3 linked regions of the Sus scrofa genome follow. Each later gene encodes a partner of the first gene's protein in a complex. Links are inferred from orthologs where the notes say so. Each region holds a gene or a part of one and is shown in the gene's direction. Other genes may lie near its edges.

Region 1 (5,883 bases):
AGCCACAGGGGCTCAGATACAGTCCCTGGTCCAGGAACTTCCAAGTTTCATAGATGCAACCATAAGAAAAAGAAATTTAGGAGCTTTGGCTTAAAACCTTGAGGAATGACCTGTGAGTATCTTTCTTGCTTTGTCACTTTGAACATACCTGACCCTAGCAAAATAGGGGAGCCCCATACCCAGGGGGAAAGCCCTGAAATAAAGGTACTTGATCTGTAAGAGTATCACAGCTGAGCTATCTACCTCAGAGCAACTGGTTAGTTTCCAGGGTGTGAGAGAGTTCCAGCCTAAGAATGTTCACATAAGAGTAGAGCCTAGGAGTTCCTGTCATGGCTTAGTGCTTAACGAACCCGACTGGTATCCATGAGGACGAGAGTTCTATCACTAGCCTTGTTCAGTGGGTTAAGGATCTGGCATTGCCGTGAGCTGTGGTGTAGGCCGCAGAGGTGGCTCATATCCTGCGTTGCTGAGTTTGTGGTATAGGCCAGCAGCTGTAGCTCTAATTCAACCCCTAACCTGGGAACCTCCATATGCCATGGGTGCAGCCCTAAAAAATACATATATAAAAAAGAGTAGAGCCTAGGGAGGAGAGCTTAGAGTTCCAATGATTTTAGGTAATGATGGTCCCGGGAGTAGGTCTACCAAAAATGGATAAGACTCATTCTTTTTTTTTTTTTTTTTTTTTTTTTTTGCCTTTTTTGTCTTTTTTGCTATTTCTTTGGGCCGCTCCCGCGACATATGGAGGTTCCCAGGCTAGGGGTCGAATCGGAGCTGCAGCCCCCGGCCTACGCCAGAGCCACAGCAACGCGGGATCCGAGCCGCGTCTGCAACCTACACCACAGCTCACGGCAACGCCAGATTGTTAACCCACTGGGCAAGGGCAGGGATCGAACCCACGACCTCATGGTTCCTAGTCCGATTCGTTAACCACTGCGCCACGACAGAAACTCCGGATAAGACTCATTCTAACATGTGATAGGCCTGACACTCTGGGATCATTTATCAGGACTCAGAGTTTGCTGTTGTGTCTGTCTGAATACCTTTTGAGGTGTGGAGGGGCCAGGGGAGTGCAATTTGGCAGAGAATGAAATGACCTATACCATCCTGAGGTCAGACCAGCTATGAGGATTGGGCATCAGTAGGTCATGGATTCCCTTACCAAGCTGATGATAGAGGTGCTGTGGGACTTGTGTAAGTTGTGAGTGACATGAGGCAGAGGTTGAAGGTGGGAAAAATAACTAGCCACAACTTCAAGGGAGAAATAATATTTAGAAACTGAAATACAGGCTCCGAAAATGTTAGAGGGAGGAATTCCCATTGTGGCTCCACGATAATGAATCTGACTAGTATCCATGAGGACGTGGGTTCGATCCCTGGCCTTGCTCAGTGGGTTAAGGATCTGGTGTTGCCGTGAGCTGTAGTGTAGTTCGAAGACATGGCTCAGATCCCAAGTTCCTGTGGCTTTGGTGGAGGCCGGCAGCTACAGCTCCAGTTTGACCCCTAGCCTGGGAACTTCCATATGTCGCTAGTGAGCTCTAAAAAGCCCCCCAAAAAAAGATGTTGGGGAAGAAGGATATTCTAGGCATTGGAGGGGCAACTCCTTGAGCCCCAAAGGGCCCCTGAACAGAGGGTTGTAAAAATCTCATTGTGGTGGTAAGAAGTGACAGGGCTGGCTGCAGTGCTGAAAGGGAGCCTTATGTCCAAAGCCCAGGCATCAATTTGCCTTCCTACTGCTGGAAGGTGATCCAATTCCCAGGTATGAAAGGAGAACCTCCTACCTATGTGATGCTTTCATCCAGCCATTCATTCATTTTTTGAGCAATAATAGGCCTATCCTGTCAGCTCAGACCTTGCCTGATACCCAGGATGGTGTCTTTACTTAACCACTAACTGAAATACAATCTTATTTCCACATTGGAACAGAATGATGAGACAAAGTAAGGAAATGGTTAAGTGAGAATGTAACAGGAGTTCCCGTCGTGGCTCAGTGGTTAATGAATCTGACTAGGAACCATGAGGTTGCGGGTTCGGTCCCTGGCCTCGCTCAGTGGGTTAAGGATCCGGCGTTGCCATGAGCTGTGGTGTAGGTCGCAGACGTGGCTCGGATCCCGAGTTGCTGTGGCTCTGATGTAGGCCAGCAATTAGACCCCTAGCCTGGGACCCTCCATATGCTGCAGGAGCGGCCCTAGAAAAGGCCAAAAAAAAAAAAGAGAGAATTTAACAGGAAAAGTTACTTATTTTGATTTTTTCCTATTTTGCTTTGTATACCTGGTGGAATGTTATTTATAATTGATTTCTCTTCTTGTTCATCTGCTTTCTTTCCTATATAGAATGTTATTTATGATTAAATACTTAAAGCTACAAAGTTATTTTAGTTACTATTATTTTTTACAAAGTTATTTTTGACTGAACATTTCGAATTAGGTACTTTATTCAGTTCTATTATCTGTCTATAAAATTTGCAGTTTTGAGAAATTGTAACCTAAAACAGTGTAAATACCTCTTAGCACCTTCAGGTTTGATTCCAATCTGTATTTTACTGTTTTGAACAGTCTGTCATTTGAAGGTACTATGGTAAGTGTCACTTCTTCTGAAAGTAAGTAATGGGATTAACCTGTACTCTATGTTTATTTTTCCTATCATAGGTAGAGTTGGCTTTGTGGGACACAGCAGGACAGGAAGATTATGATCGTTTGAGGCCCCTCTCCTACCCGGATACTGATGTTATACTGATGTGTTTCTCTATTGATAGCCCTGATAGTTTAGGTGAGTAGCCCTGTAGCCTAATGTCTGTCACTGCCTGTGTACTTGGCCGACCTTTGGTTTCTCATGTCCTTTCTGGGCATTTAAATGGCTGAAAAACTGACATGAGCTTCAGAGAAGGAATCATCAGTTGCCAGGGTCCTAGAGCCTTGGGACTGTAGAGCCTGAGCCCCAAATCCCTTTTCAGCTTAGGTCTCCTGTGGCTGCCATGTTCATCTTGGAAGGTAGGTAGGTTCTAAATACAAAGCTATTTTTTAGACTAGGATTTGGGGAAGGATTTTTTGGGTGTTAAGTAGTTGATATTGAGCCTACTGCCTCCCACTGTCTGGACTGCTGATTTGTTGAATCCTCAAAGTGTTTTTGTTTTGTTTTTTAAATTTTTTTAAATTGAAGTATGGTTGATTTACAATGTAGTATTAATTTCTGCTATATAACAAAGTGATTCTGTTATATTGCATTCTTTTTTTTAAGTATTCTCTTCCATTGTGGAAGTATTATGTGCTATACAGTAGGGCCTTGTTATCCATTCTATGTATAATAGTTTGCATCTTGGTAGTGTTTTTAAAGCCGTATTTTAGCTCTTTTATAAAATGTCTCGATAAGCAGTGAGATCCTGCTGTATAGCATTGGGAATTATATCTAGTCACTTATAATGGAGCATGATGGAAGGAGAAAAAGAATGTATATATAATATGTATGTATGACTGGGTCACTTTGCTATACAGTAGAAAATTGACAGACACTGTAAACCAGCTTTAATGGAAAAATTAAAATCGTTAATAATAATAATAATAATAATAAAGTGCCTCAGCTAAGACTTGAACCTGACCATTCCAGTAGCTCAGTTGGCCCCATGTTTCAGAATGTCCTTTCATTTAGAAAAAGAATGAATGAATCTGACTTCACACTGCAAAAACAGGCACCAAGACCTGAAAGAGAACTTGCTTTTGGAGTTCCCATTGTGGCTCATCAGTAATGAATCTGACTGATATCCATGAGGATGCAGTTTCAATCCCTGGCCTTGCTAAGTGGGTTATGGATCCGGTGTTGTGAGAGAGAGAGTTCTGTGGTTCCACATTCTCAGTGACTCCTGCCTTTTGGTAATGTGTTGAGGTCAGAGAGTGAACACTTTACTCCTAAAATACAGCCTTGGAGTTCCTGCCATTGATGCAAAGGGATTGGCAGCATCTCTGGAGCACCAGGATGCAGGTTCCATCCCTGGCCTGGCACAGTGGGTTAAGGATCCACTGTTGCCACAACTGTGGTGTAGGTCACAGCTGTGGCTTGGATCTAATCCCTGGCTTGGGAACTCCATATTCCATGGGGATGCCAAAAAAAAGAAAAAATAACAATAAATGAGGCTCAGTGGACTAATATCCATGAGGTTGCGGGTTTGATCCCTGGCCTTGCTCAGTGGGTTAAGGATCTAGCGTTGCTGTGAGCTGTGGCATAGCCCGGCAGCTACAGCTCAGATTTGACCCCTAGCCTGGGAACCTCCATATGCCGAGGGAGTGGCCTTAGAAAAGGCAAAAAGACAAAAAAAAAAAAAGAAAAGGAAAAAAGAAAATTCAGTCTCAAGTTACAATCAGGACCATTTAAACTAAGTAAGATATTAGTGTTAACCTGTTTTATAGTATCTCTGACCCTGAGATGCTCAAGGTGGCAGATATGGGAAGTTCAACCCAGGCCACTTGTACACCATGGTGTACATACAACCTTTCTAAATTACTGCAGTATTGGCAAGAAGCTACAGCTGTTATCATTTATTTTGATTTATTTATTTATTTTCTTTTTTGGCCAGCCCACAGCATATGGAATTCTGGGGCCAGGGATCAGGTAGGAGCCACAGTTGCAACAATGGATCCTCCTTTAACCCACTGTGTAGGGCAGGGATTGAACCTGCATCCCAGTGCTCCAGAAGTGCTGCCAATCCTGTTGAGTCACACACAAACTCCAGCTGGTTATCATTCATTTTTTAAAGCCACTCAAATCATTTGAAATACCAGTAACCCATAGAGTAGGTCATGCCAAGAGTCCATGAGTAAGACATTGAGAAAGCATGTGGCCAGCTATAGCCCCAGAATGGGGGCTCCTTCTGCAGCCTGTTGTTAGAATTATCTGCCAACAGTGACATGAATGGCTGGTAAAGAGCTTTCTTCCTTGGGGCAGGTGGCACCATGTGGAGCCACTCTCTGTTTTGAATCCTTCACTTCTCCAGTACCTTTACCTGGGTCCCACCTCCAGAGGAACTAAACTTGATGGGACTGAGAAAAGCGGGTGATTCTGTGCTGAAGAGAAGAGGAGTTAGAGTTTGCCTTTTATGATTTTGACATTAAATGTCCATTATACTTCTCAGAAAGTTTCTTTGCAATTTACCTAGCTGGGGCTTTTGGAGATTTTTCAAGGTAGAATTATATGTATCTTCAAATTATGTGCATTTTGCACCTTTCAGAAAACATCCCAGAAAAATGGACTCCAGAAGTCAAGCATTTCTGTCCCAATGTGCCCATCATCCTGGTTGGGAACAAGAAGGATCTTCGAAATGATGAGCACACAAGGCGTGAGCTAGCTAAGATGAAGCAGGTATGGTCTGGGTCAGGGCCCTGTATTCCTGTAGCATTCTTGAACCTGGAGCCCAAGGTTGGAGGTTCAGGGAAGCCAGCAAAAACCCTTATAGGCCAAGCCGATTAAGAGAGTCCTAGAAGCCTTTTGCTGTCATCTGGCCCTCACTGGTGCCTGCACAGAGTCCCTACGACTTCTATTTGTAGAAGATGGAACCCGTCTTGTGAGGCAGTGATATACCCCCAAAAGATTGCCTGCCTAAGAAGGAACCATCAAGCAGTAGTCAGTGCTCCCAAATGTAGGGACTTTATTAGGCTCTTGATTTCCCTCTCCAGTTATTACTTTTGAAAGACAAATTAGTGAAAGGTCAGGAAATCCTGAGGGCAGGGAGTCCAAACATAGAGCCCTAATGCGTGTGTGTGTGTGTGTGTGTGTGTGTCTTTTTAGGGCTGCACCAGTGGCATATGGAGGTTTCCAGGGTAAGGGCCTAATTGGAGCTACAGCTGCTGGCCTACGCCACAGTAACTCCAGATCCCAGCCGTCTTCGAACCTACACCA
Region 2 (6,347 bases), on another chromosome or scaffold:
ACTGGAGGGGAACTAGTGTGTGAAAGAGGTAGAGGGTATACCTGCCCACCTCTGTGTGTAGCAGTCAGTGTCAGGTCTCACCATGGTTACACAGCAGTGCATTGGGACTCACTGTATGCAATATGCCCAGACAGCCTTCTAGTTTTAATCCGTAAGGGTGCTGAGGGGACAGCTTGTGGATTCAAGCAGAACAAAAAGGCACTTACAGTGTCAGGTGGGAGGTTATAAAACCTCAGCAGCCACTTTCGCTAGTTTCAATTCATGCATCCCAACAAAAGAAGATGCTCCTGGAAATTACTGTAATATAGGACTACAAAAGGAAGTAGCAGGAAAAGCATAGCAAGTGAACCTGAGAATCTGGAAGATTAATTAGGTTAAGGAAAGGGAGAGGGACAAAAAAATGAAGAGCAGCGATACAAAGACCCCAGGGTGGTTTCTGGAGAGGTCCAAAATGAATGTGGAACATGGTAGGGTAGGGGTATGTGTTGGTGTGTATGGACTGAATCATGTTCCCTGCAAATGTATATGCTGAAGTCCTAACATATCTCAGAATGTGACCTTATTTGGGAACAGGGTCACGGCAGATATAAAGATGAGGTCATACTGGAAGAGTTGGGCCCCTAATCAAAAATGACTGGTGTGCTCATAAAAAAGAAAAATGTCAACAGACATGCCACGTGAAGGCTGGAATTATGCTCCCATACGCCAAGGACCTACCAGAGCTGGAGAAGACCTGGAATAAATCCTCCCTTAGTGCCTCTACTTGGTAGTGTAGTAGAAGAGTCAAGAGTCTGATTTGATTGTCTTGGGCATCAGAACAGTCTAATAACTTTGACATCTATAGTTACATTGTATTTTCTTGTTTTTCCAAACCTCTCCTCCTTTTTGTTTCATTTTTGTTTTAGAAAATCTGCCCTGCTCAACAAATTACAAGGCCTATTTTGACTTGTGTGCTTTGTAGTATCAGTCATATAAATGGAAACGGATCTGACTGTAAGAGGGCCGCTGATGAAGGGCAGGGAGCACCTTTTCTCAACATTGGGCTGAAAGAGTAAAAGTTGAAAAAGAGAAATTTCCATTTAGCTATTCAGCATCTCCCTCCTACAGGCTGTGCTACTGCCTGCGCCCTTTCCCCGCCTAGACCGTAGTTGCTGCCGCCTGGGGAGACCGACCTGACTCCTCACCCCAACCACCGAGAGTCGGGGCGCGACCAGAGTGCAGGGAACGGGAAGGTTTCCCCCAGCCTCCTCCCGCAGGGCGGAGGACGCAAGACCAGCCTCTGTCTCGCGCGCATGCCCAGTTGGGAGGGTGCCCTCAAAAGGGAGCGCCCAGCTCAGGTTGTCCCCGCCGCTGGGGAGGTGCGGGGAGCAGGCGCTGGCCCCGTGGTCCAAGGAAACTCCGGCGTTCGACCCGATGGGGCCGCAGCCAACTGGGCGGACTTTTGGTTTCCTGCCTTGGCAACCTGTTCCCGCCGCGTTTAAAGGGAGCGGGGCAAAGATGGGCACATCCGAGGAGGGTGGCGCCCGACGGCCAGGGCACCCTTGTGACATGGCTTTTCGGGTGTCCTCCGGGGAAAGGAAGGCCGCGCTCCCCTAGGAAGGAGAACGATACGCTCCGAAGAAATCCCGGGGCGGTCACTCCTCTCGCTGCCGGGAACCTCTTTTAAACTGGCCGCAGCCAGGACAGACTTAACTGTCCCACTGATGTGCCCGCTAATGTTAAGCGCCCTTCCCGCGGCCACCTCCCTTCTCTGTGCCCAGCGGGCCCACACGGCTGCTCTGAAAACAAGCGTCCTCAGATATCTGTCTCCAGAGGCGCTGGCCTCATCGCCAGCATGTCCATGCCGGCCCCGTTTCAGGACGACTGCCTTGCTTCCCGACCACCCTCCCGGGTCTGAGGCGGCCCAGGGTCTCCTCCTTCGGGAAATTCCCGCCTGTGCACCCGGCCTGTCGGGTAATGAAGACTGGCCCGTTTTCCGGGTGTGGGTTGGCCAGGTCGGGGTAGCGACCTGGAAGGTAATAGTTCGGGCACAGCGTCCCGGTACCCAGCCTGCCCAGGGCCTACCCTCCGCCCCTCCGGCGGCAGCCATCAAGCTCCTCCGCGGCGGCTGCAGCCGGCCCGCAAACACACGCCCACCCGCACGCTCAGATTGACTTGCCCCGGGGGGAAAAAAAAGGGAGGCACTGAGCATGCTCGGCGGGGAGGGCGGGGCGCTCCCGGAGTGCGCGTCGGGGCGGGCGCTCCTCCGGCCGGCTCGGCGCCTCCGCCGCCTGCCCGCTCCGAGCTGCGCCCGCCGCAGGCTGCGCCCGCCCCGCCCTACCCCGCCCCGCCCCCCGCCGCTCGTCCCCGCCGCGGCCGCGCTGCCTGCAGCAGCAGCAGCAGCGGCAGCAGCAGCGGCAGCACCAGCTGCTCCTCCCCGGCGGCCGCCCCCCGCGGGTCCCTCCCTGGTTGCGGGAGAGACAGAGGTAGAGGGAGGACACAGCGCCGCGCCGCCCGCACCGGAGACCTTCGCCTCGACCTGCCGGCTCCTCACCCTCTGGGAGGAACATGGGTAAGTCATCCTTCCTCCCCCGTCATCGCCTGACATATTTCTCTTTCTCGGCGTGGTGCAGGGTGGGAAGCATTTCTCGCGCAAAGTTGCCGGATTTCTCCAGTCCACCGGGGTGAGGCAGTGGCTGTTTCTCCGGGGAGAGTCGGCGCACGCGGAACGCACGCCGGGTCCCAGGGCTGGGAGGGTCCAGAGTGCGGGGTGGGGTCGGGCCGCGGGGCCGGACCGCCGCCCGGCTCTCGGGCACCTCGCTGCCTCGCCTCCCCTCCTCCATTCTTCCTGCCCGAGCCGGTGCCCGGGCACCACGGAGCCTGCCCCGCGGGCTCGCATCCGCTGCCCCATCCCGGTTTCTTCAGAGGCCGCCGGCTTCCTTCCCCTCGCGGCTGCTGGGCTGGAGACTCGGGTCCGACCGCTAGAAAGACCACTTCACGTAACTTCCCTGTCTGGGCGACCTTTCCCCATCTTGGGGACTGCTCATCCCGAGGCGGGGAAGTGGGAGCAAGTAGTTTGTGGGGGTGATTTTACAACCTGCACGGAAATTATTTTCGGTGGGGGAGAGCGGACAGTCTCATAGGTTGAAAGGATGACTTGTCAGAGGCCACGAGGAACGTGAGGCAGGATGGATAGAGCCGCTAGCTGTTGAATTCGTGTTGGGTGACTACAGTGTGCACTATTCCGGTGTTCAACGCATTTTCTTGGCTCCTTCGCCTGTCTCCTGTAGCACGAAACTGCACCCTGCCTGTCTGTAACATGGTACCGAACTTACATACTAGTAATGCTTTCCCAGCTTCCCTTGTCGGAATCTATATAATGCGATTTTAGTTCCTTCGTGTTTGTGATTAATCTTAAGAGTTTGGGATGAGATATTTAAGAGTTGGGATGAGATGTTTTACAAAGCTACATATAATTAATCCTACTTTTTCATAATATGTTGCTTCATTGTTAAGTTCAGTAATTGCAAAAACGTCTGGTGGCTACGGTAATGTGATTAAAAGACGAAACATTTTTAAAAATTGTAGCGGTTTGGAATGCCATGCTTCTGCCTGTTCCCCAGTTTGCTTCCATTCCTGTCATAGTTTCTTTCTTCTTTTTAAAATTTGCTCCTTTGGCACCTGTCAACTCAGACTTTCCCCACCCCTTCCTTGCAAGTTATTTTAAGCTTGAGATGAGTGTGGACCTTTTATCTGTCAGTCTGGTGCCCAACACGTCCAGAGTTAGGTCATGGCAACTCAAAATCTTCAAGGAAATATCTAAATCTAGAAATGGTGTCTATGGAGCTCACTCGAAGAGCAAATGCTCCAAGCTCTGATTCAGACCTTTGGCGGAAGAGGTCATTTTTGCAAGAGGAGGTATAAATCTAGGACACTGAATTTTGTTTTCTGTTGTTCAGTTTTTTCCTTTTTAATGTGCTGTAGGTATGCTGAACATATTTCTGTAAAAGTTTGGTGGCCCATTTATTATTTATATAAATTTCTCTGGGAGTAGAATTTTAAATAAATATCAGTTCAGATTATTGGATACCTTGTGTCTTTCCTTTGAACATTGCAAAGGTTTTCTACTTAATTACAGGCCACAAGTAAAATAATTAACCCGAAAATCTTTGCTTGATTTCAAAGAGAGTCCAAATAGAAATCCATCTCTCATTTGAAGCTTCTCAGATACTCGGATTAAATCACCCTCTCTCCTCATACCATTCTGTTTGTACCTTGTTGGAAGCTTTTTAGACCTTACATAATCTGCTTTATAACAGAGTTGTTTATGTGTTTGTATTGTGCATTTAATCATGCATTCTAGAAGGTGAAAATTACGTCGTTTTAATTTCAGGGTCCTCCACAGTGCTTTCTACATAGTAGGTATTCAGTAAATCTTTGGTAAATTAATTATTGAACTGGAAACCTATCTATTATTTTCAACTGGGGAACCTGAAAGTCTGGGCCCTGAACAGACATTTGGGTTGATAGATTTTGTGCAGGTGGTGGAGGTGTGGAGGAACTGGGTACAGAGAAGTATAATTATACTGTGACTGCTCTTCTCTTTCTCTCAAAAAAAAAAAAAAAAAGTTGTGTCGTCTCAGATGTGTGGGTTTTGGAACAGCCACTAGGCAAGCTATTTCTTCCTACACTGCTCTTTTCAATGGTAAGGTGGTTTTGTTTACCATCAGTAGACATATACAATAATGTAAAATTGAAACATTGAAAGACAATATTATATTCTAAGCCAAGGAAGTTATTATAGCAATTCCTATATACATAAGGGTATACTGATAAGCGATAGGGGTCAAAAAAATCGCTAATGTCATTTTCATAAGTAAATATGGTGATTTTTAAAGAAGATATTGTTATGGCAGTGATTTTTCTCCAGAAGAAAGTGAAGGAAACTTCCAATGTAACCTTATGGACCATGTCTATTATTTTTATGTATACATTTATATATATATATACTTAAAATTCAGTGTGTACTTAATATTTCTTGTATACCTACCGTGGGAGGAGAAAGATCAAGAAGACATTCGTTTTTCAGGTTGCTTACAATCTTAACAGGAATGATACATACACAGATAACATTAATAGAAATAAAGTATGAGTGGCACGGAAGACCTTTACGTATCATATAGATTCAGAGGATGGAGAGAAGTTTTTAGAAAAATAATGTTATCTGAGCAAAGGTTGGTTAAGCTTCTGAAAGGTAGAAATGAACGGAGACTGTTCATCAGGATGACGGTGGAGGGAGAGAAATGACATGAAAATATAGAGATAGGAATTTTCATGTTTTTTCAGGGTATGATTAAATAACCATGTTTGGCTGGATCAAAAGGTAGGGAAAGAGTGGATGACAGAGATGAAAAAGTGTTAATAGATAAAGAACAGATAATGGAGGACTTTGAATGCCACGCCGAAGAAGTTTGGGGGCTTGACTTGTCAACTGAGGGACTAGTAAACATTTTTATGTAGTTAAGTGATGGAGCACATCTGTGGTTTAGGAAAATCAATTTGTCAATTGAGTGCAGGATGGATTGAATGAAAAACTAGAGAATACTTCAGAAGGCAGTTGCAGTTTGGGTAGAAATGTACACCGGCCTAAACCAGGCTATGGCAGTGAGAATAGAATATTGTAAATAAAGAACAAGATTTACATATGGAATCAGGAAAGGAGTCATACACTACTGTCTGGGCAATAATGAGAATGTGGGATCTGTTAAATATGTATTTAATCCATTGGAAGAGGAAAGATGAAGAGTCAGTTTTGGACCTGGGGAGTTGGACTGTTCGCCTTTTCGATTCTCTGCCTCTTGATGACATTAGGTTATATATTCATATTGTTTTTTAATTTAATTTTTTATAGTTGATTTACAACGTTGTGCCACAAATTACATTTTGAATACATTTGTAACACTAGTGTCTAGCACACAGGAGCTGTGCCCTAAAACATTTTTGACTGACCAAACCAGGTTAAAAATATTTAACAGTTCTTTTAACTCTCAAGAGAAGGTTTGAGCTAGACGTCTGGATGTTTATCTCCCCATATCCTGAGATGATATTTGAAGTTAAGTAGGGAAATGAAAATCAACAAAGAAAAAGAAGAATATTTGACCAAGGTAAGAATCTTGAGGAATGCCCCATTGTTTGGGAAAAGGGAAAAAAAAAAATGATTTGACACTGAAAAAGATAGTAGGTAAGCGAGAAAGACTAGAATTGGCATGTATTTGGTTTCCAGAGTGAATGGTCAATACTGTCTGTTGCAGGATTGTTTCTCAGAACAAAGTAATTAGGACTGAGAGAAGGCTCCAAATTGATGTGGT
Region 3 (6,498 bases), on another chromosome or scaffold:
ATATGAGGATTTGGTTTGGAATGAACCCCTTTGGAAAACCTCCTCAAAGAGCATGCGCAGGAGATAGTGTCACCAGTCATTTTTCTAGGTAAAGGACTAATGTTCCTTTGGAGTGCATTCTGCCTAAATTGTCATGACTCTTCTGAAGGTATTCTGATGCAGGGACTTCAGAACAGTCCAGAGCTACCAACAGCTGTAAAGAAGCGTTTGGACATATTTTTACTCTTAGAGCTTTGTCCGAGAATATAGATTTTCATCACTACAAAAAATAGCTCTGGAATGAATAACCACTGGCTTAATTAAATCCTTTGCTTACCATCTTCTGAAGCTTTCCCACAGCAAATGCCCTCCTTGCTCACAGCTAGAACTTTGGGTCTGTTTAAGTTTGGAAAGATTATGAAAGCAGCCTGCCAAGAGGTTTTGTATGCAAGGAAGAGAAGGTGAATTAGGAAACTTTCCCAGTTTGTTTTTATCCCTGAAGCTCGTGTAGTGAGGCATTCTTGAAGGGAAGAGGGAGCTCATTTTTAAAATGCATGATTTGATGAGTCATTGGGTCCAATTAATTTGACACCCACACTGTAAAATGATTAGAGTAGGGCAAAAAAACCTTTTTTTAGAATGTCTAAAAAAGATAAAAGTTTGGGGGAAAGGTTTGCATTTTGGTCATTGTATATAGACTGATGGAGCCCTTTCCAATTACATATAGAAAATAAGCAATTTAATTAAGAGTTTTCAGAATAGAATTATCATGTTAGGGTACACCAGCAGGTGGCAATGTGTCCTGGTCTGATCATTAGGAAAGTGGCTTGGGACCCTAATCTGCTTCTATTCTTTCCCAAAATAAACATTACAAAATTAGCTGGCTGTGCCCTGAACTTAAAAACAAAACAGTAAAGAGTCATCTTTGGCCTCTGTTTATCGTTTTCTTTTCCTTTTTTTTTTTTTTAACCCGGTTCTAACGTCAGCCTTAGCTCATGCATCTATTCAGGGATAATGATCCTTTCATGCACTCTTTTGGATTGACTTTTAGCAACAGCGTTTTTAAGAGGTAATTCTTTCCCCTCTCCACATCCACTGTTTATTAGATGTGCTTTGGCACTTGATTTCCACAAAAAAGGTTGAAGACCTTGACGCAACAATACAGCTTTGAACTCAAAGCTGAAAACAGATGGATAAAGAGACAGCCACTTCAAATGTTTACAGGCCGAATTGAAGAAATATATTGTACATGGTACTTGAATTGCTACAATCCCAAATTATGCAATCATAAAGTAGATGGATATCTAAGTTTATCTACCCAGCTGGGGAAAAAAATAAAAATATTTGGGAACTCTTCAAAGAGAACTGTAAAGCTATTTACTGGATAAATATACTTTGTTTTTTGCTCCCATTTCTTTCCACAACAAGCTTGTTAAGTCGCTGTGGAAAGCACCATGCTTGCTCAATTTGGCAAATAATAACATTTCATTTTGCCAAGGCAGGAGCAGCAGCCTAAAAGCAACACTATACGAAGAAATCCTGGCTCCAGTTCCCAAACTCTGTCGTCTCTCCAGTCCCATACACTTTCGTCCTCCAACCCTCCGTGGGCAGCCAAGACTTGTGCGCGGCGGTCCCTATCCTGGGAGGAGGCCAGCAGGTGCCCCAGGTGAGCGCCCAAGGCCAAAACTTCTCTGTGCTGGGGTTTGTTTCACAAACGATGGAACGGTGTCCGTGCATCCGGACACGAGTTCGCTTCCATCGGCCCAAAGCAGTCTATAGGGTTCTCCGAAAAAAAGAACAAGTATGCTCCCTTTAAAGACTACAAGTTTCCAGGACGAGAGGGTGGGTAATTTCTAAAGAGCTTCTTCTCAATTCCTCTGGATTAGGGACGTGCTCTTTGGCGGTCCCTGGCGAAAACTAGACTACGAAGTACAGATATCCGGCACTCGCGCGTTCCTGGGGACGGCAGTGGGTTGGCGAGTGGGAGTCCCGGGACCAGACCGTCCCCACCTCCCTCCGCTCCGCCGAACTACTTTTTCGTTCCCCCCAACAAGACGCTGGCGGAGGCGTCCGCGCGGGTTGACGCGCAACCGCGGTCGGCAAGCGGGGGCGGCGCGGGCGGCCCCGCGCACCGCGGAGGGATCCCGGGTGAGGCGGCTTCCCGAAGTCAGAGGGGAGGAGGCCAAAAAAGTCGGCGGGGGAGGGGAAGAGTGAGCTCGCTCGCGCTGGACGCTGCCGGGGCCGGGAAGACAGAACCGGAACCGGAACCCGTGCGCGCGCCCGCGGCTGTCGGGCGGCCCCCCACCATCGGCGGCCTCCTCCACCCGCCGCGCGCGCCCCCGTGAGGGCCCCACAACCCGGCGAGCCGGCTCTGCGCTCCGAGTCGCCGCCGTCGCCGCCGCCGGCCTCCGGAGCCGGTACTTCCAGGCCGGGCCGGACGGGAACCTCCGCCCCTCGCGGGAACCGCCGCCTACCGGCGCGTCGGGGAGGAGCCGCTGCTGCCGCCGCCTGTGCTGACCGCGGAAGAGTCGGGGCCTCCGAGGGATGGGTAGCAGCCCGCGGCGCTGAGAAATCAGGTTCCTGTCACCTCCGGCTGCGGGATCCCCTCCCCCGGCTCCCGCACTCGTCCCGGGGCCCGGAGCCTGGTGGGGGCGGCGACGAGGACGAGAGGGGTTCCCCGGCCCGGGGCCATGGAGCCGCGCGCGCCTGGCGCGGGGCGGCCCGAGACGCGGCCGAGACTGTGGCCACGAGCGGCCGGCAGCCCCAGATAGAGAGCGGAGCCCAGCGGGCCGGGCCTGGAGGCGGGGACTTGCAAGCCCCCGAGACCGCGGAGGAGGAACCGACACCCAGCCCCGAGCCGCTCCTGCCCCGGCCCGGGAGTGACTCCCGGGCCCCCTTCCCCAAGGCTCGCCGACTTCTCTCCGTGACGAAGTTTTCTCCTGTGACTTCCCGAGGATCGCTCTCTAGCTCTAGGACTCGCCTTCTGGCGGACTTGATCGGTTTATTTTGGGAGATAACTTGCCTCGCTCCCATCTCCATCCCCTTTCCTTGACCCCTTCCAGTCGGACGTTCTAGATGCCTGAATGGAGTTTTGAGTTGGACTCTTGTGTCCCTTACGGAGTCGGGCCTGATCCCAGAGCGCCGGGGGTGGGGTGGAGGTGTTACTGTAAAATGCAAGTTGGATAAAAGGAGGACCTCTCGCCAAGGGCCCCAATGAGTGGCACACAGTCTACTATCACCGACAGGTTGGTATGAAGCTCACCCTGCGCTTAGCCTCCCTGGTTGGGGCCCGACCTAGCAGGAGAGTCAGTGATTGTCGAGTGCCTTTGCCCAGTGAAGTTGACAGGCATCGCACAGAGGGTTGTTTCGGAGCTCTGCAATTAGCCTGGGGTTGCTGCCAAGTTCCCCGGTTGATTGAATTTAGAAATGTAGGGTTGTTTTGTTTTGTTTTGTTTGTTTTTTTCTGGAGAGAAACTTTTCTCCAGATTCTCGGAGGAGGGGTAGGTAAAGCCATGATTGTGTTTTTCTGTCGGTAGTTTGCATTAGGATTCTGTACGGATCTTGGGACCAGAGGGAGGTCATTTTGGGTGAAGGTCAGCGCCCGAAGTCGGCTGGGGTATTGGTGCATCATCGCTTGTACTTCTCTCGTGTAGTCCTATAGACACTGCTTCAGTTTAGGAATTTTTTTTTGTGAACATTGTGAAGCTGCCGCGTGATTTATGAGTTTGATATCCTTTACCTATTGACTTGCACGGTGTTGATCATCTTAATAATTTTCCAGAATATTGGAATTACTAGTAAATCCTAAGTACCTGGTAGGGGCAGTTATCAAGGAACCATGGGGCTAGATTTTAATTATTGCATTTTTAGTATTTCATCTTCCAGAAACATTTGCATTTAAGGAGTATAAAGCTTAAGCGAATTATGTAGTAAGGCTGGCAGGTGATTTGCTGAGTTGGGTGCGTCCTTTGTAGTATGTACCTAGGTTACTTGGTGGTGGTTGGTGAATTGAACTAGACTATTTGTGGTTTAAGTGGAGTTCCCTTACTCTTTAGTTATTTGGAATATTAGGTTTAACGATAAAAGTATATTCTTTTACTATATTTTGTTTTTCAGTTTAATGATGACATTGCCATAATTATCCAGGTCCCAAGTTTTCAGTCAGCTTTTTTTTTTTTTTTTTTTCTGGGGAGGGGGGTCAACCTTCAAACTAAAAAATAAATGAAGTAAGGGGCTAAAGAAAGCACTTTGATGAATACAACATTAGTGGTGCTCAAAAGGTAGTTTAATTTCATAATAAGAGAGTTTTACCCAATTGTAAGACTCATTTGTTGATTTTAAAAGGGCCAAATTCCATTATCATACCATAACAGATACTCCAAAAACAGAATTTCCTCTTCCTGTTGATGCTTTCCGGTATCACGTGAATGTTCACTTAAAAGAGTCCATTAAATGTTTAAACTATTTTTTGAGTTTTTTTTAATGCATTTTAATTTTCACCTTCTCTGAGAGTACACTTAACATGAATAGCAACAATGCTTATTTTGATATCCTCAAGTTATTCCCATTCCTTTTCCTCTCAGGTTATTTTGCCTCTGAGAAATCATTTTCTTGGGTGTGTGGGTAATTGTTTTTCTGGTTCATTCAATTCTTGCTTTCTCTGTTGAACCTGTAGAAAAGTCTTATTAGGTACTAATGTAGTCCTACTAGTTTTCATTGCAGTAGTAGGAGCGTTTAATTTTGTAGAAACAGAACCTACGGTCACCAATTCATTCTATGTGAAAATCTCCTAAAAGCACCCAAGTAATGACCTTTCTTCATCTTTATTTCTCCAATTTTCTTCCTCTTTCGTTATCTTAGAAATAAGGTCTTGGGGTTTTTATCCTTTCTATAACTTAGATGAGATATAAATATACAATAAGCATGCAGTTAATGCATGTTCTTTGCCAGGTGCTGTGCTGGGCACAAAGGATTAAGAGATGAGTATTCCAAGTATAAGATGAATCTGCAAATTGGTTTGGGTATTAATATCCTTGAATTAGTTCAAGTGCTGCTTGATTGTACATATTTTCAGAGAGGAAACTTTAAACACCACTTAATATGTATTTCTGAGACAGTATGTATTCGTGTTTCTTTGGAATTTACTACTAGTTTGGGGTTTTGTTTTGTTTTTTTTCATAAGAATTGTTCATATGGGAGCATTACTTTTTCTTTAAATATATCTTATTCTGTAAATATCACTCCTCTGTTGGCTCTTAGGAGAGTAGTTGTCCCCGATTTGGATATATGTTGGGGTGAAATCTGAAAGTACTGGTTCAGTATTATTTCTGTGTAGGAAGCCTGATAAAGTTATGAGTATAGAATAGTTCCTTACCCACCTCATTTTGTTTTCTCACTGTCTTAACTCCAGTGTACTGTAGGTATGTTTTGCTGATTCTAGAGCCTTTGGCAAATTAACAGCGCCTTTGTAGCTTTTTAAAGATCCTTTCAAGTTTGAAGTACTGTATGTGGTATGGCTTTGTTTTGTAGAGTGTGCAGACCCACCAGGCCAGCTGTGTGAGTTAGAGTTCTTTCATTGTGGTGCTTCTGACTACAGAGTCTGTCTGTCCCCAGTTGAAATCAGACTAGCTGGTTTTGGGCGTTGTTCTGTTTTGCAGTTTGTGGCAGGCGACACATGGCTGAACAAGATAAGAAGGGTTTTATTCTTGTGTTAGGGACGTGCTGGGGCTGGGATGGAATTCAGCTCTGTTTAGGCTCTGATTGGTCACTTTGGATACTCAGAACTCTGTTATATCCTGTTATTATTTTGCAGTTAAATTAACACATTTATTTACTCCCTTACCCCCCCTTATCCTCTACTCCCCAGGTCCTCCCAGCCCCCTTTTTAAGGGTGTAATCATTCATCATTTTAGAACTCAAACTATGTGTTCATGATAGCTACTGTTCTTATGTGGTATATCTGGACTTTTTTTTTTTTTTTTTAAATCCGAGCAGCTTGTGAATACCATCCAGTGTCTTGCTTTGTTACTTCTATGAGGTCTGGAGACTGCATTTTTCAGCTTTTAGAACTGGCAATTGAAAGGGATAGAAATATCTTACTGCTGCTCTTCAGTTTACACTTACTGCTGCTTTAAGTCCTAAAATATACCTAATTGTTTCTAATCCTCCTAGACGCTTGTTTCTCTCCCTGAGAGTTTAGGGGTCTTGTGGTAATTGGAATTTCTTCTGCGAGATAGAGAGGAAAGAATACATTAGACTCAGTAAATTATGGACTCAGTAAATTATTTCAGGCTATCTTCTAGAACAGTGAATTTTCAGTGACAGTATAGGTAAGATATTGTTATAAAGGTCTTTGTTGAAATAAATGAACCTTTGTCTTGACTAGGACTTGTGGATTTTCTTGTTTTTGATTTATAGATAACAAAGGTTTTTGATATATTGGCTTTTTTCTTTTAGCATTATGAGTTCATAAAGCTTGTTTAACTGAAGCAAGTTTTTAAAGTGAGTGTGGAAACCTGT

The links.
Region 2: the proteins of RHOA (region 1) and RAP1GDS1 are in contact, whole or in part, in a crystal structure (PDB 5ZHX), measured with the Homo sapiens proteins. The link is inferred for Sus scrofa from reciprocal best matches to the Homo sapiens genes RHOA and RAP1GDS1. Residues at the interface, in NP_001300870.1 of Homo sapiens: Ala3, Ile4, Arg5, Lys6, Asp13, Lys18, Lys51, Asp65, Tyr66, Asp67, Arg68, Leu69, Arg70, Pro71, Leu72, Ser73, Tyr74, Lys98, Trp99, Pro101, Glu102, His105, Phe106, Leu179, Cys190, Leu191; in NP_001093897.1 of Homo sapiens: Arg111, Tyr118, His121, Ser171, Glu200, Met201, Val204, Asn208, Glu211, Leu212, Glu213, Ala249, Glu253, Lys290, Thr291, Asp294, Leu295, Val297, Leu298, Leu301, Asp303, Leu334, Leu338, Ala341, Asn342, Ala344, Arg345, Asn346, Asp347, Cys350.
Region 3: the proteins of RHOA (region 1) and ARHGEF12 are in contact, whole or in part, in a crystal structure (PDB 1X86), measured with the Homo sapiens proteins. The link is inferred for Sus scrofa from reciprocal best matches to the Homo sapiens genes RHOA and ARHGEF12. Residues at the interface, in NP_001300870.1 of Homo sapiens: Arg5, Lys7, Thr19, Lys27, Val33, Tyr34, Pro36, Thr37, Val38, Phe39, Glu40, Asn41, Val43, Asp45, Glu54, Trp58, Asp59, Ala61, Gly62, Gln63, Tyr66, Asp67, Arg68, Leu69, Leu72, Ser73, Asp76, Glu97; in NP_056128.1 of Homo sapiens: Pro766, Asn768, Gln770, Glu790, Val791, Glu794, Thr798, Ala801, Cys888, Gln891, Pro892, Lys899, Arg922, Arg923, Leu924, Gln925, Lys927, Asp928, Pro931, Thr932, Met934, Gln935, Thr938, Lys939, Leu942, Leu943, Asn946, Arg968, Leu971, Asn972.

What each region holds. Positions count from the first base shown.
Region 1 is NC_010455.5:31,920,594-31,926,476, reverse strand, and holds part of RHOA (transforming protein RhoA), read left to right. Parts: intron 1-2,645; coding exon 2,646-2,766; intron 2,767-5,215; coding exon 5,216-5,346; intron 5,347-5,883. UniProt on the Homo sapiens protein: Small GTPase which cycles between an active GTP-bound and an inactive GDP-bound state.
Region 2 is NC_010450.4:122,003,387-122,009,733, reverse strand, and holds the start of RAP1GDS1 (rap1 GTPase-GDP dissociation stimulator 1), read left to right. Parts: upstream 1-2,324; 5' UTR 2,325-2,547; coding exon 2,548-2,551; intron 2,552-6,347. UniProt on the Homo sapiens protein: Acts as a GEF (guanine nucleotide exchange factor) for the Rho family of small GTP-binding proteins (G proteins) that stimulates the dissociation of GDP to enable subsequent binding of GTP.
Region 3 is NC_010451.4:47,473,629-47,480,126, forward strand, and holds the start of ARHGEF12 (rho guanine nucleotide exchange factor 12), read left to right. Parts: upstream 1-2,502; 5' UTR 2,503-3,192; coding exon 3,193-3,224; intron 3,225-6,498. UniProt on the Homo sapiens protein: May play a role in the regulation of RhoA GTPase by guanine nucleotide-binding alpha-12 (GNA12) and alpha-13 (GNA13). Acts as guanine nucleotide exchange factor (GEF) for RhoA GTPase and may act as GTPase-activating protein (GAP) for GNA12 and GNA13.